2 linked regions of the Bombyx mori genome follow. The protein of the gene in region 2 binds, or shares a complex with, the protein of the main gene of each other region. Links are inferred from orthologs where the notes say so. Each region holds a gene or a part of one and is shown on either strand. Other genes may lie near its edges.

What was found. The genes of interacting proteins can lie anywhere in the genome.
Region 1: the proteins of NEDD8-activating enzyme E1 catalytic subunit (region 2) and ubiquitin-conjugating enzyme E2M are in contact, whole or in part, in a crystal structure (PDB 2NVU), measured with the Homo sapiens proteins. The link is inferred for Bombyx mori from reciprocal best matches to the Homo sapiens genes UBA3 and UBE2M. Residues at the interface, in NP_003959.3 of Homo sapiens: His53, Pro54, Asp55, Glu61, Ser62, Phe65, Cys70, Gln149, Asn152, Asp153, Thr154, Arg157, Gln158, Phe159, His160, Ile170, Arg173, Trp174, Ser181, Leu182, Leu183, Asn184, Pro192, Ile195, Val196, Pro197, Leu214, Met217, Arg254, Met255; in NP_003960.1 of Homo sapiens: Lys3, Leu4, Phe5, Ser6, Leu7, Lys8, Gln9, Gln10, Lys11, Lys12, Glu15, Lys21, Gly22, Ser23, Ser24, Lys25, Lys26, Ala27, Gln31, Leu32, Gln35, Lys36, Ile38, Asn39, Glu40, Phe51, Ser52, Asp53, Pro54, Asp55.

The regions. Positions count from the first base shown.
Region 1 is NC_085121.1:6,067,091-6,074,864, forward strand, and holds ubiquitin-conjugating enzyme E2M, read right to left. Parts: upstream 5,042-7,774; 5' UTR 4,751-5,041; coding exon 4,642-4,750; intron 4,461-4,641; coding exon 4,327-4,460; intron 2,271-4,326; coding exon 2,103-2,270; intron 1,218-2,102; coding exon 1,077-1,217; 3' UTR 728-1,076; downstream 1-727.
Region 2 is NC_085115.1:7,046,238-7,054,063, reverse strand, and holds NEDD8-activating enzyme E1 catalytic subunit, read right to left. Parts: upstream 4,611-7,826; 5' UTR 4,467-4,610; intron 4,380-4,466; exon of another isoform or gene 3,818-4,379; intron 3,590-3,817; 5' UTR 3,585-3,589; coding exon 3,250-3,584; intron 2,037-3,249; coding exon 1,876-2,036; intron 1,457-1,875; coding exon 1,288-1,456; intron 1,200-1,287; coding exon 950-1,199; intron 836-949; coding exon 616-835; intron 549-615; coding exon 337-548; 3' UTR 301-336; downstream 1-300. Other genes in the region: uncharacterized protein LOC101738796, read left to right, coding at 5,695-5,883, 6,295-6,456, 6,706-6,984. UniProt on the Homo sapiens protein: Catalytic subunit of the dimeric UBA3-NAE1 E1 enzyme. E1 activates NEDD8 by first adenylating its C-terminal glycine residue with ATP, thereafter linking this residue to the side chain of the catalytic cysteine, yielding a NEDD8-UBA3 thioester and free AMP.

The sequences.
Region 1 (7,774 bases), on a different chromosome or scaffold from region 2:
AAACATTAGAATGTGCAGCGCCATATGTGCTTTATTATTACTATTTTTGAATTAGGGAGCGCCGAATTTACATAAAAAGTTTTTATTTGTTATTGCTTGGTTTAATTATGATATTTTAACATTTTTTACTACATGGATTTTTTCACACTTCTTTACTTTGTCATAATTCAATAGGAGATAAGCGTATTAAAATTTAAATTACGAATTGGATATTCAAAAATGGTTTTAAAGTTTTTTCCTACCCGCTGCTATCAGACGGTAATTCCATTTAAAAAAAAAGGAATAAATATTTCAGTGCAAAATTTTAAGCTTTTGTTTGATTTTACGAACGCTATTTGTAGACTTAAAAATTCGGGTAGGTAGCCGCATTCTCAAATGTATTTTTACTAGCATAGATGCCAGATCAGACGTCATCGGTGCCACCTACTAGGATTGGTTTTAAAACATTCGTTTGTGTCACTAAATCAATTCAATCATATCAATTAAATCCTTCCTTCTCTTTTTATCGAATTCTTCACTATTTAGTAAGTATTTAGTGGTTTGTTAGATACTTACAGCATACTACATGCATTTACTCATGTATTGTGTATGCTATCTCATCCACCAACTAGCAGAGTAATAGTTTGGTATATAACTAGAAAAGTACATTTATAGTTACTAGTTACCCATCCGATAAGGATTAGTCAACATCACAAATATACTTAGGTATTCAAATGAAAGAATTGTTGAATGCAGTTCTTTATTTACAATGACCTAAGCGCCACTAGCGACATTTTTTTAAGTTTAACTATGAAGACATAACTGTGTTTGAATTTGATATCAACTCGAAAAATATAGGATCGATCGATACGACTCGTATATTTTGTTATGAAATTATTATAAGAGAAATTCAAGTGAATTAAACGATTTCTCAATATAATAATTGTACTTTAGATATCTTGTTGGGCATGGCATTAGAGATGGCTTTTTTTAAAAACAATATTAAATAAATAAAAACGAAACAATAGAAAAACATTAAAATGAGATTTTATTATTATTTATATGGTTGTTAGCATTTTTTACACGTGTGCAGGTTTTCATTTGAGGCATCGTTCGAAATAAGATGTGCCGACGTAGCCGCCTCGCATAGCTCTCTGAACGTGTTGTTCGAAAAGTCGCCTGTTGCTTTGGAGCTCGTCAGCTGCTTCCTTGTTGAGGGGATCTTCAGGGTTTGGTTCCTAAAAAAAAAAAAAAACAATTCCAATACATGTTTTTTACTGGTGGTAGGACCTCTTGTGAGTCTGCGCGGGGGTGGGTACCACCGCCCTGCCTATTTCGGCCGTGAAGCAGTAATGCGTTTCGGTTTGAAGGGTGGGGCAGCCGTTGAACTATTACTTGAGACCTTAGAACGTATATCTCGAGGTGGGTGGCGCGAGTATAGATAAGCTTTGCTGACAGTTCGTGCGAAGATAAAATGAAAATGATGAAATTTTCTCAATTCGTCAAAGAACTCTCTCCACAGAGAGTTATAGGATACAATTATACAAGACTATACAAGTACACGTAAACTGGATAAAAATAAAATACAATACCGTGAATGAAAGAGAGAGTATGCGTTATTGTACACCAAAATAGATAAAAATGCAATACGTGTGATGACGGACGAATAGCGACTTTCCCATCTAATCTCATTATATTTATCTTTACGAGTACTGCTAATATACGAATATTTTTATAGTTATGATTTTTATCGGCAGCCCTAAGTTTGATAAAAGAGCATTTTGTACAGTAAATTTCTTCAGATTCCGAAACATTCTTGAGATTAATACATTTTTCTAAATTTAATATTACTTCAAACATAAACTTTTTCATCAAACCATAACCAGCAGTTATTTCGTTGGTTTTCGTGAGTCCTACACATAATTAAAAATACTTTAAAGACTCACAGTTGTCGGTGAATACGAAAATTGAAGTATTTGAAAGGTTGAAATAAAAAAAAAAACGAAAATAATCATAATTACACCAAAACTTGTCAATTTCTGGAAAAGAAAAACCAAAAAAAGAAAACTGTTTGATGAGAAGTTCTTAATTGCTATGTCTTTATATCAATTTAGTGGGCTTACCAAGAATAAATACTGGAGACCGTACACTATGGAGTTAACTGTGAGAACAGGTTTCCAATCTTCCCTGAGTATATTCAGGCACACGTTGCCTTCGAGGTCTATGTTAGGATGATAAACTGCTGTTTCACATTTGACTTTGGGCGGCTCGTGAGGATAATTTGGTCCTACCTGAAAATTGGTTAAAAATATTTGTTAGAAAGATACAAGTTACTTACTATCTACTAAAGTGTTTTAGCATTTCTAGAATACTTCAGCTTACGGCCGATATGGTATTATCTACGTAATATTTATCGGAGATAACATAGCGTAAATGCTGCTAGTCACTTGAGACGAGCCGCTGACTTAACTCTCCTCTCACGGTCGTCCAACCCTTCGAACCGAAACGCATGACAGCTTCACGGCATAAATGGACAGGATAGTGGTACCTACCCATGTGTAACATAACATAAGTTTGTAATCTATAAAGATTAGGCTTAAAGAAGGAGAATATAGAGGGAGGGATCACCTTGAAGTCCTCGACAAACCTCAAGGTTCGCCTGGGGTCCGTTTTTAGTTTATTATATCATAGCCTGTGGTCTGAGATTGTATTAATAACTATACTCAAACTGTCTCCTATTTAGAACCGCACGGACCGATCACTGAGTTTGATCAAGTACAAGATGTTAAAAAAATCCAAAATTAGGAGTTATTGCAAAGTTACAATCAAGACCCCAACTATCTCGCTTCTGAACTCAATAATCGAAATGTTTTTATTATTTTGTCTGCAATTTTTTCAAGACACAACAAAGAAGTTCAGCCAACTTCAAAGTCAAAGCTTTTTTTCAGCAGCTTCTCAGCAAAAAGACTGTGGACTTTGTATAATATTAAATATTTATTACTATAAACGTACATATTCAATTGAGGGACAGTTAATTTAACCAATAGTAAAAGAAGTATTAGCTACTGAGCTCCAGCTGGTTAGTATTATTTGAAAACATCCTTTGATAAATTGTTCTGAGTAAAAATGAATTGACTGAAGAATCATTACCTAAGTTCTGCCTCATTGGTCAGGTTGCTAGCGACTACTATCCCCTAGAGTCGATAAAATATATTTGGTTTTCAGGATCTGGGTGTTATTGTCTTCAAGATGTTATAGGCGAAATAACACAGGAGAAAGTTTTTGCTATAGACTGATCAATGTCATAAAAGAATTGTACAAACATGTGAAACCTTTTAATTTTTTTTGTTATGTTGTATTGTTATTATGTTTTATTACTACACTTTATCAATTAATGAAACTTTGTCCTCTTTTGTCTGCACACTTCTATGATGACTTGTGACGTTCACATTGTAGGGTGTGGGGCTCAGTTAAATACTTAATATGCGCAACTGGTTAATCATATGATCCTATGAAATAAAAATAAAAACAGCTGTGGCAGTTATCATCATCAGCGATGATCATCAGTATTACTTCAAAATTTTCTGTTTTTTTAGATGCTCTTAAAGATTCACACCTCATCTACCTATATTAATAGGAACAAGGTAGAATGTGGTGTACCAACATTAGTGCATGAGTGTGTGAGAGAGAGAGAAAGAGAGAGAGATCAATAACCACAAAAAAAATCATAGTCTATCGCAGTCTACCCCATGTATGACCATCAGGCTTCACTCTAATGTTAAATTTGTGGATGGTAATCACAGACACAGGCAGGTTCCGATGGGATCTCCACTATAAGCATCCCTACTGACCAGTCAACAGCGGTGAGGCCATCCAGCCATCCAACACAGACCCATCATGTCGACGAGGACTTCGGCATCAGATGTTCAATGCTTAAAACCAGAATATAGTAAAAGTATTATAGAAGAGATATAGACATGATCACAGGGCTTACCCAGTTGTACACTAACTTTGACCACCTAATACCAAGTCAGAATCAACAGATTAAATTTTTATTCAGACCAGTAAATTTTTAAAATACAATCATGTAATGATGTTTTTTTACAAAAACTAGCCAACTATTCCAAGCCATATGATTTTAGTTTGTAAAAAATACAGATTTTGAATCAGTTCTTATAGTTCCAAGTTTTGCATACAAAGACCATTCGTAATTTTTTTCCTGTACCCAACAATATTGCCATATGAAGTGATTAAGCTCTGAGATAATGAATGTGATCTACTGGTGAACACATCGAAAGTTATCTTAAGGTTAATTATGATGTTAATGAATAATGAACAAAAGCTCACCTTAAAGCTAAATACAAATTTTCCTCCTCTATAAAATCCTTCATCTGGGCATATAATCAATTTAAAATTCAATAGGTCATCCGGATCAGGGAATTCTGTGTTGCATGTTTTCGGTAGATTCAATTCATTCAAATCTGTGGATACATTAATATTGGTCATGAAATGAAGCTTATAAAATCTTATAAAATAACAAGTTAATTTTAATGAAATCTTATTTGTTGCCAATATATTTCTGCCATAAAATACAGGAAATTCATTGGTAATGCTTAATTAAACATGAAAAATCTAGTAAACACTGAAAATATCGCCTAGAACCTTTTGTAATTCGTAATTGGGCTGCTGATGCTTTTTTTTGTGATCCTCCTCCTCTGGTAGAACCCTCTTCATCTTTTTTCTGTTGTTTTAATGAAAAAAGTTTAATCATTTTCCTAACTAATCAATTAAATAGATTAATAATTTATTAAATTCCAAGATCTATTTTGACAGCTTGACTTTTTTGAGTTTTTGTATCACAGATCAGTGTTCGGTGAAATTTTGTTAAATGAAGAGCCAAACCTAGACTTATGATTGGCTAAATAATATACTTTCTCTTTGACTTTTTGTTTTAGCCAATTAGGTATAAGTCAAGCTTCAACAAACACATTCTTCTTGACAATTTCTACCGTTCAATTATTTCAATTTTTAGTTCAATTTAGTTCAATTCTCTGGCGGACCCACACATTATTAATCTGTGGACGAACGCACAAACATCCACAGATCAGTAAAAAAATAGTAGGTACTAGTATATTTTATAGCATAGAAAAAACTAGATTAATAGCTTATCCGAAAAAAAGTTACTTGTGTCAGTTGTATCCATGGAGTTAATAAGTATACTAACTCTATGGTTGTATCACTCTCCGCTCCATTAACTATTTTGTTTTTTTAAGTTTATTTGTAGATCACCAATCCGAAATCATGAATCAGCAAATACACTGTCTCATTTAAAATAGCAAAAATACCGGGTGTTGTTCGATCATGTCATTTACTATGAGTATTATTACGATGTGATTAGGGCAGCGAATCCCTAGATAACGAGCTGCCTATCACTACTGGGGGCGTGCGGCGAAATACAAACGAAACGAAATATAAACTATCAGTACATCAACCAACTAAACATAGCCGTTTGAACAAACACCGCTAACGACTCTCCTTTGTCGGCACATCTTGAGGGCGATACACTGACCGCGAATTTCTTGAGAGGACATTGTTCAAAGATTACCATCACATGCAATACCGTCTTTACCATAAGGGCACACGGGACCCGTTCCCAGGGACCCCATTCTCAGGGGCCCCCTAAGGACCGACAATTTCTCTCACACATTTATTCGGTTTCCGTTATCGTGATCGTAACCAAAAAACCAGCAGTATTCTAATATCATTAATGACATATTATATCATACCGTATTTGATTACCTATAATAAATGGTCATACTGAGTAAAAAATGTTATTATAATTCGCTTTTTTTACTTTCCAAAAGGACCTCAAATTCTTGTGTGTCCAAGGGCCCCAGCCTAATTTAAGACGTCCCTGATCACATGTATTATGTCATGCAGCGAGCGCAAAAAGAGTTTGAGCCCACTGAGTTACTCAACGGATTTTCTCAGAGGGTTGTGATTTTGATCCGGTGGTAGATTCAGCGAAGCATTGCTCTAGAGAGGATGTTTACAAAGTCTCCCAGATTGAGCCCCATGAGCATGCTTATATGTTTGGTGAAGCGAACGCAACAAACAACACTTCAGTTCCGTTCGCGCCGACGCGACGCGCCGTTTCACAGCGAGTGCATTTTACCGCGGTCTGCCACTTCACCAAATATTATTAACTTTCTGCGAAATTTCATCAAAATTATACACAAATCACAAACGTCATTTGCCCTCAAGCTAGGATACCTTCTACTATCGGAAATAGAGATTTAGTTACGTAAATTTAAATATATACACGTTTGCATTTATAATGCTATTTGGGAATATTTTTTGAAAGGTTAGTAATGTCCGACGTGTAGCAATAATTAGTATAAAGTTTTGTAATTGTTGTATTTTGTTACCTTGTTGTAAACTTTTATTTATTAAGGTCTTCCTAAAGTTATTTTTCTGTTTACTTTCTACTTACCTGTAATGTTAATAGTGCAAACTTGTTTACTTTTTGTATATCTATTTTGAATGTATTTTATGGGTGTTTTGTACTGTTCCTTTTTTCCAAATAAATAAATGTATATACATTTAACATAAAATAAGAAAAAAAAAAGTGGTGTCGTGGGACACCAGGTAGGAACGAAGTTCCTTCGGCTAACGTAGAATCGACACAATTTGCAAAAAAAAATCGTGCTCATTTTTATGTTGGTTTTCTTGATTTTTCTCTTAAATTTTGCTGATTAGTTTTTATTTAAGTACAGGAAAGTATTTAGGAAATTCAGTATTTTAGGAAATAATAAATTACGTAAAATAAAAATAAAATCGTAATTCAAATTATCAAAATTATCAATTAAAATAACAAAATATGTCTCTTTAGTTTTGTTTGACAACATAAAATTACATAGAAATAGAAATAATTACAAAATAGAGAGAGAAAGGATGAGAGAACGAAAAGAAAGAGGGAGAAAGAGAAAGGTATTATACACTACTCGCTTGTGTATACGACTGTCGCGCCTGCGCACGTCTCATTTAACGGTTTTATTCCACGCACTTTTTTCCACGGATTTTTCCTTACGGTTTTACTATCACATTTTTTTCAGTTCGGTCGCGCAGCAATATCCCTATCCCCTCCAAGCCTGCCGTAAGGAACTTCGTTCCAATAAAGACAAAAAATATTTTAGGTACACGTACGATTCTCCAAAATGGAATTCCGAACTCACAATTCTCAGCCCAGTAGTTGGGGCGCTGACTACGGTACCCCGAGTCACTCGATGTGTGTACTAGTGTACTATTAAATAATATTTAACTAAATATATATATATATATATATATATATATATATATATATATAGTCGTAAATGTAGTTTTATTTTTATTTCTTCGATGGGTGGTTGAGCTCACAGCCCACCTGGTGTTAAGTGGTTACTGGAGCCCATAGACATCCACAATGTAAATGCGCCACCCACCTTGAGATATAAGCTCTAAGGTCTCAAGTATAGTTACAACGGCTGCCCCACCCTTCAAACCGAAACGCATCACTGCATCACGGCAGAAATAGGCAGGGCGGTGGTACCTACCCGCGCGGGCTCACAAGAGGTCCTACCACCAGTAATAAATTCCATGTATGACTCTGGAAAACCCAAGAATTACAATGGTTTTGTCAATTTAGATCTAAAACTACTCATTTTTTAAATCCCATTTAGGTAATAAAAATGTGAGCCGATGTGGATGTAAGGCGATTAAAATTAAAGATCGATTTTCCAAAAGATCGATTCCGATT
Region 2 (7,826 bases):
ATGGAGAGTGGGCATTCCCCTTTAATTTTCTTTCAAAATTTTTATTGAGAGGGTTCAATAACTCACAATTATTATGTACGATGTTACTTCATTTTTCTGATCCTACACTTGCTGTATTCTTATCTTACATTTAATTTCATTTAAATTAATTTCCATATTTTTGTTTCGGCTACGCCCTGACTACAAATAAGTCACTGAAGAGCTACGTTCCCTTTATGTATCCAATGTCCGAAACAAATAAAACAAAATAGGTAGGTAGGCATTGGCGGAGTAGTGAGTATTAAATTTTTACGCATTAAATTTGATGGATATTTGTTTATTAGTTTAATTTAATTTTTATTTAGTCATATCAACATCAAGAGTTTCGAATTTTAATTTTATGGTTATGGTGTTAGGAGTAGTCACATCTGCTACTAATATATCAGCACCATTAAACAAACCCAAATCTGTTAATTTCTTCTTTAAATTATCTTTTGTCCTTTCTTCAATGCTCTTAATAGATGACATGTATAATGTTTTATTGCATCCATTAATTACAGTGGTTATGCCTGAAAAATAAATTTTATTTTATTCATAAAATTGAATGAAATGTGAGCATCAAAAATTAGTGTTTACCTGGACTCTTCATCAAATAAGCTTGATCTTCGCAAAGTTTTGTATAAATATATTGTAATGTAGCATCAGGATCGATTTTCATAACCCTAGTAGAATTGCAACAAGCAACGCAATCAGGCCTTTTCTCTGCACTAAATGTATATGTATACACACCATCAGCCATATTCAGTACCATGTAGTTGTTCATATTCACACAACAAGATGAAGCTAGTTTAAATACCTGTGCCAATATTATTCACAGTATATAACAGATGAATCAACATTTTAAGGAATAGATAATAAACTAATACAGACTATTAAGTCTATCGAGATTTTAAATAAATTGGGCTTTCACCTCTGTAGCACAAGCAGCAGCTATAGCAGCATTAGTACTGGCAACAGCAGGTATAATGTTCTTTAAAACTCCTTGGGTCAACCTGTATGTAACATTAGCAATCCCATGCTTCATTGCCCTTTCTTGGGCCTTTTCATACACCCACACGACATGCTGTGGATCATCACCATCTAAAGTTGTTGAACTACCCCATGGATTCTCCTTTGCCCATTGAATTACTTTAACATATTCGATACAATGTTCTGGTAATCTGGAAATAATATATGAGTCATGAGAATATTGAACACTTTGTCATTTGTAAATTAACAATTGAATAGATATATAGTTATACTAATTACCTTGGAGTGTTAGCAATGGTGCACAAAGGGAAAGTTTTTTGTGGGGGATATAGATCTAAAGTACACTCAATACATGCACTCATGCCAGGTAATATAACTCTAGCATTGCCTTTAAATCCCTCAGTACCTCCATCCACCATTGGAATTACACTACTCTGGTCCAAACTTCCTGTCAAATTACAAATTAACAAAATTTAAAATGCAATAGGTAGATACTATTGAAAGTTAAAACAATAAAGATGGATATGTTGTTAACATTGTTTTTTTTTAGAATATTTTCAAAATATGAGCAATGAAAAATTCGTAATCATAATAAATTATTTATATAAATATTTAACAATTTTTGATTCAAGTTTAATTTTATTTATTCTGTCTGAAATTATCTCTTTAGGCACAAAGTATTTATATTAGTTTCTTACAAAATATTTTAACAAATTATATTTTTATAATAAAAGTGTAGAAAACTAGAACATGTTAATGCCTTGTGGCAGGAATAGGTAAATACCTTTTCCTAGGCTCAAGATACACACTCTGCCAGTAAATAAAACACTAGCTACTACCAAGAACTTTAAGAAAATAAACTATTACTGTCATCATTGTACTGCAACAAGGATACCAGCATTCCATTAAGCCATCTCCGAGCAATAATTGAGTCAAGCCCACAAACAACAATGTGAAATTGTCTATAAAAATCTTCATCAAGGTCCTGAATGGCACAGTGGTGAGCTACAGCTTCACACCCAGGAACTCTGTAATGAAAAGAAATACCAAAGTTCAAAACAACAAAATTTATTCAACAAAAATTACAACAACTGTCATTTTAAGTAAAATAAGAGTAACACTACATGACGATCACGACCACTCTGTCAAGAGTGACATGACTGAGAAGAAGAAGAAGAAGAAGTGTATGATGATTACAATTTAAGAAAAAAATATATTGGCAAATATATTTAATTTCATTTTAAATGATATCAAATACCAGATAAATTGTCTCAATAATGGAAAAAAAACCAGCTGAAGCACAGTGCCCACAGTGTGGTGTGGCTGGGGGTGTCTGTCTTAGCTTAAAAATGCATGTTCAAAAATGCCAAATAGGAATTGAAACCACAAACTTGGTTTGCTTAGGAGATAAATATTGTATAATGTTTGTGCCATCATCAATGCTTTACTGGAGATGTTAATAAAAATATATAACACAGATCCTACTAATATTACAAACGGAAAGTTTGTAAGAATGTATGTTTGTTACTCTTCCACCGAAAAACTACTTGATGGATTTTGATGAAACTTTACAATAATATAGTTGACATTGACTATAATAATTTATAAAGATATAGTGTGAATTACAAAAATATAATGATAAGTGTCAAGTAAGTAGGAAAGAAATCTGCCAACTTATTTTGATAATCAATAATAAATTACAGTTCTAGTATAGACTAGCGACCCGCCCTGGCCTTGCTTCGGGAAGCAACAACAATCAACATCAATCAATCAACAATTTAAATGTAACACTATCAAGAGCAATATAATAAAATTTACGTGTTTCAGAATATTAAAATCAAAGGTAAGATTTATGACATGGGAATAAAAGTACTAACACTGTTTTCACTACTTTGGATGCACTTCAGTCTAGTTTATGTAACCACTTATTTCGGAAAATGTTGAAAATCTACTTCCTGTCAGGGAATCCTTACTTTTGAATTCATACATCCATCGCCTCCTACATCGTGTATAGACTTCCCCCATTATTCATCCTTTTTATCAAGATTTCACAAAATGATGAACGTTCATATAGAAAACGTAACAATTATCATAATGGGATAATAGATAATTACTTCAGGGACCCCTACTATTTGCAAGTGTGTAACTTTATGTATTTATTTAATAATGTAAATAATAATTACTGTACATTGATAACATTCAATTAAACACTAACTCTACTCATCACAATTACATTTTTACCTTTTATTGACAAATTCCACAGCACATTTAGCTTTAGGTAGGCCAATATCATTTCTTCTGAACAAAAATTGCCGGTTTAAATTTGATAGTTCTATTGTATCCATATCTACAATATGTAACTTTTTGAAGCCCATTAAGGCTAAATCTTTCAATAATTCACAACCAAGACCACCTGCCCCAACAATGAGAACTTTACAACAGTTCATGATGAAATTTAGAATTTCTGCTGAAGCTTCAAAATCTGGATGGCAGAAAGGACCAGATCTTTCCAGCAGCTTCCTTATATGTTGCCATCTCCTATTTTGATAATCAGCCGTTTGAGATTCTGAAGTCATTATGACTGAAAAATAAATACATTACACTATTTAAATACATACACATTGAAAGAACTGAGATATTATTCTTTTAAACCACACTTGTGTGTACTTCAGTAATATGCAGCTAATCAAAACGAATATTCAATAATTAGCAATAAGAGATGTATTTATTACTTTCATTTTATTATTTTTATATAGATTTGTAATTAATGATTTAGTATTCTTTCAAAATACTATAATTATGTACGTACCTATTTCTATTTCCAATAAGTTTTAGTGCAATAAATAAATATAATTATGGCAATAAGTATGATACCTACCTAGAAGAGGTATGTATGTAGTAGGTAGGTAGGTGTACTTTTTCTGTTAATTTTTTTAACTTTGCGGTTAAATATTTATAAATCCTAATCGCCTTATTTTCATAGACCAAAGAGTATACCATGTAGTACAATAAGTAATAGTAGTAATAGTATTTCGCCAGTTAATACATATCTGTGCTACATGTGTTGAAGGTTTAAAGTTCATTGAAAACACTAATAATTTAATTGATTTGGCCAATTGGGCCGGTAAATAGATTTTAATCCATGAAGCTTCTCGTCAAATATCGAAACATAAAAAAAAACGATTAAAATTTTAAAACGTAATAAAGAAAAAGTTACTGCGGAAGTATTCCTTCATTTATAAATCGCAACTTAAGGCGAAAGGCATCGTGCCTATAATTTAGTCGATGAACATATGTCACATCGACTATTGCGAGTCACTGAAAATAACTATCGCGAGTAAATCACAGTGTAATGAATGAATCATGAATCAGAATTAAGTATTACTACTGACTTTTTAAATACCCAAATGTTGACATCCAAACTCAAAGGAGTTTTTAAATAGATTAATATTCTTTACCTCCAAGATAAATCACTGAACTATAATAACGTGATCAAATTTGGATTTATGCAGATATAATATTTAGATGGCCGGTGACAAGCGCTTTTTTTCTCATACTAAATAGAGAAGGGTATAGGGACCTCGAAGCTCACGCGTACTGTCTACTTATGGTAGCACTGTTTTTGTGGTAAAAGATCAGTCCACTCCAACAAATTCAAATGGTTAGGTAATATGTTGGTATTCAATAGAGGTATTAAACTTTACTTTTATTAATAAAGTAAAAGAAAATGCAAATATACTAGATTCCAGAATTAGGGCTTAAAATACTTTTAAACATAATTTAATACACATACACACGGGATTCACGATTTTATGCATTTAAAATAATGGGTTTTAATTAGTATGTAGTTAACTTCCTTGTTATATCGGATATACCTATACACATCCAAATAAACTATTACCAATCTTCGAAAGCCATAAATTAGTTATTTCAAGCGGTATACGCTCAATTCTGAATACCAATAAATTGCATACTCTGTCTGCAAAGAGCAACTAGAGACATTAATATCAGCTAATCAAAGAAAATAGACACAAAACCAATCAACAAAAATATTTAAAAAAAAAGCATGTTGATCAATTTTATTCTCTCATGAAAACTCCAAACTAGTTAGGTAATTACCTATGTAAAAATAAATCTACGTTCAAAAATTTACATTCTATAGTCGAATCATTCAAACCTGATTACGTTCTATTGGTGCCATTCATTTGTTGAAAATGGAGGCGTGATGGATGTGAATTTGTCGCAGGTCTTCAATTTTCAAGTTAGCGGTAGTGAGGTTTTTAGGGTAAGTTGAAACCTTTCAGCACTGGTTTCGGTATCTGCAGTATTTAGAATATTTATTGGAATAAGATTTGTGACCACAAACCGCGAAATATCCTCTAAAATTGAGGGAGAGACTGCGAACATTTTGAAGTCGAGTGTTGCTTGCAATATAACCATGCGGATATAAAGATGAAGGAAAAATATCTGTTGTCAAACATATCATTTTAAATTCAGTGAGTTCAGTGCATAATTGAAATAAATATCACATTGGTGATTTCCGTAAAACTGATCAGTATCACACGAAATATACTGTTGGTACCTACAGTATTTTATAACAGTTCATATTTATGTTGCTATCAAATCAAACTTACCTTTGTAAATGTCTTGTGATAAAGTCATTAAATTGTAATTGTTAGGTGTAACATGGCTGGTAACAAAGTGAATACAAAATCAAAGGGAAAAGAAGATAAAAGCAAATCAAACAATAGAGGCAATGGACAAACCAATGAAGAAAATGAACTCCCAGACTATGCCTTACTCAGAAAACCTATCTTGACCAGTATCACTAGTTTTGGTCAAGCAAGAAAAATATTTGACTTAGCTACTGAAGAGGTAAGAAAACCACTTACTGACTTATTTATGAAAAAGGTATAACAAATGTTAAAAACATTAATAACATCATTCTCTCATTCATCTCATCTCTTAATTAACCCAATTGCTTAGTAAATGCTGAAAGATAACATTGAAAAAGGTAAAATTGATCATTTTCTTTCAAAAATATATTCTCAAAATTACATATCTATATTCTATTATTTAAACAGAGTTTGGTGTTCTAATTACCCAATGGTTAAGTTGATTAGAGTTCAATTCTATTAAATGTACTAAGTTGTATCTGAATAAGTATTATGTAATGCAATGCTTTAAATAAAAAAATAATTTGTCAGTTGTATTATTTCAAGTTTCTCACTTTATGAACTCTATAGACTATACAGATAAATCTTTAATGGCTTATAAAATTTTCAGCTTAAAAATTTACTATCTAATGAGTGTGATATTTTGTATGAATGCAAAGTTTGCCGAAATATATTCAGAAGCCTAGCAAACTTTGTATCTCACAAACGTGTTTACTGTAAAGAAAAGTTCAGTACCACAATTCATGGACACTTTGTTAAGGCTACCTCAGCAGTGAGTATGTTTATTACTTAATATAGTATTTTAATCTCATATTGAATATAAAGTTTGTGTGGTTAAAAATTTATAAAAATATGGTTGAACAGAAGTAGTAATTGTTAATATATACTTTTAAGTCAGAGGCCTAAAGTTTATCTGATCATAAGTGGTCATTGTAGCTCAGCACATTGACAATGTCAAGAACACAGGTTAACAGCTGCACACTATCCATATACATTCAGATTATGTGTATTATTATTTTAGCTCAAAGAATTGATGAAAATAAAACATTTAGAGGAAGAATATCAAGAGTCCTTGAAAGAATCTGTAACAGAAGATGCTGAACAAAGTGATAGCGATGAAAGGATTCCACTTTCAAAAGATTTAACTGAAATTGTTGAAAAAATTGCACACAAGAACAAGTGCAAAAATAAATCGGAAGAAACTCAGGTTGTCTTACAAAAAATACCAAATAGCTCAGTTGCTGTTTTCCAAACAGTTGAAGAAGATGAGAGCAGTCAAAATGATAATATTCAAAAGCAGGTGTGTTGATAGAGATTTAATTTCTGTGACCTGCTTCTCTTAGTTTATTGTTATAATTGAGTAATTATGCTTTTTTACTTTAATATGTATTTTACAATTATTCCATTACAGCCCAGGCCATTTTATAAGAAATCTGAATCATTGAATTTATTCAAAATGAAAATTGAGCAGATACTGAAGTTCATTCACAACATGGACATCACCGCTCATCTTGACTAAAGTTCAAAGTTGCTTTTGTAAAAAATTATTGCTATTGTACTATTAAACAGGAACCTAATGATTCACAGTAGAAATAACTTTTTTATTGCCCTTGTAGGCAGACGAGCATACGGCCCACCTGATGGTGAGTGGTTACCGTTGCCCATGGACTTCAGCAATGCCAGGGGCAGAGCCAAGTCACTGCCTACCGCTTAATACTCTCCACAAGCCTCGTTTGAAGAAGGACATGTCATAGCGCTCGGGAAACACCGTGGAGGGGAGCTCATTCCATAGCCGGATGGTACGTGGCAAAAAAGGCCTCTGGAAACGCACTGTGGATGACCGCAGTGGCTCCAGGTAGTATGGATGAACTCTACTCCGGTGGCGGGCGGTGCGATGGTAAAAACGAGATGCCGGTATCATCTCAAACAATTCCTCAGAGCACTTCCCATGGAACATGCGGTACAAAATACAGAGGGAACCGAAGTCCCTCTGCAGACCCATAGGGCTTTGGCTTTAGTAGTAGCTTGTGCAGTCTCACTCCGTCAGCAACTAAGATAGAATAAAGAGGCACATGTTGAGGGAGTTAAGTACGAATATAACATTAAAACAATATCACCATGGACAGATTTGAATGGACATAC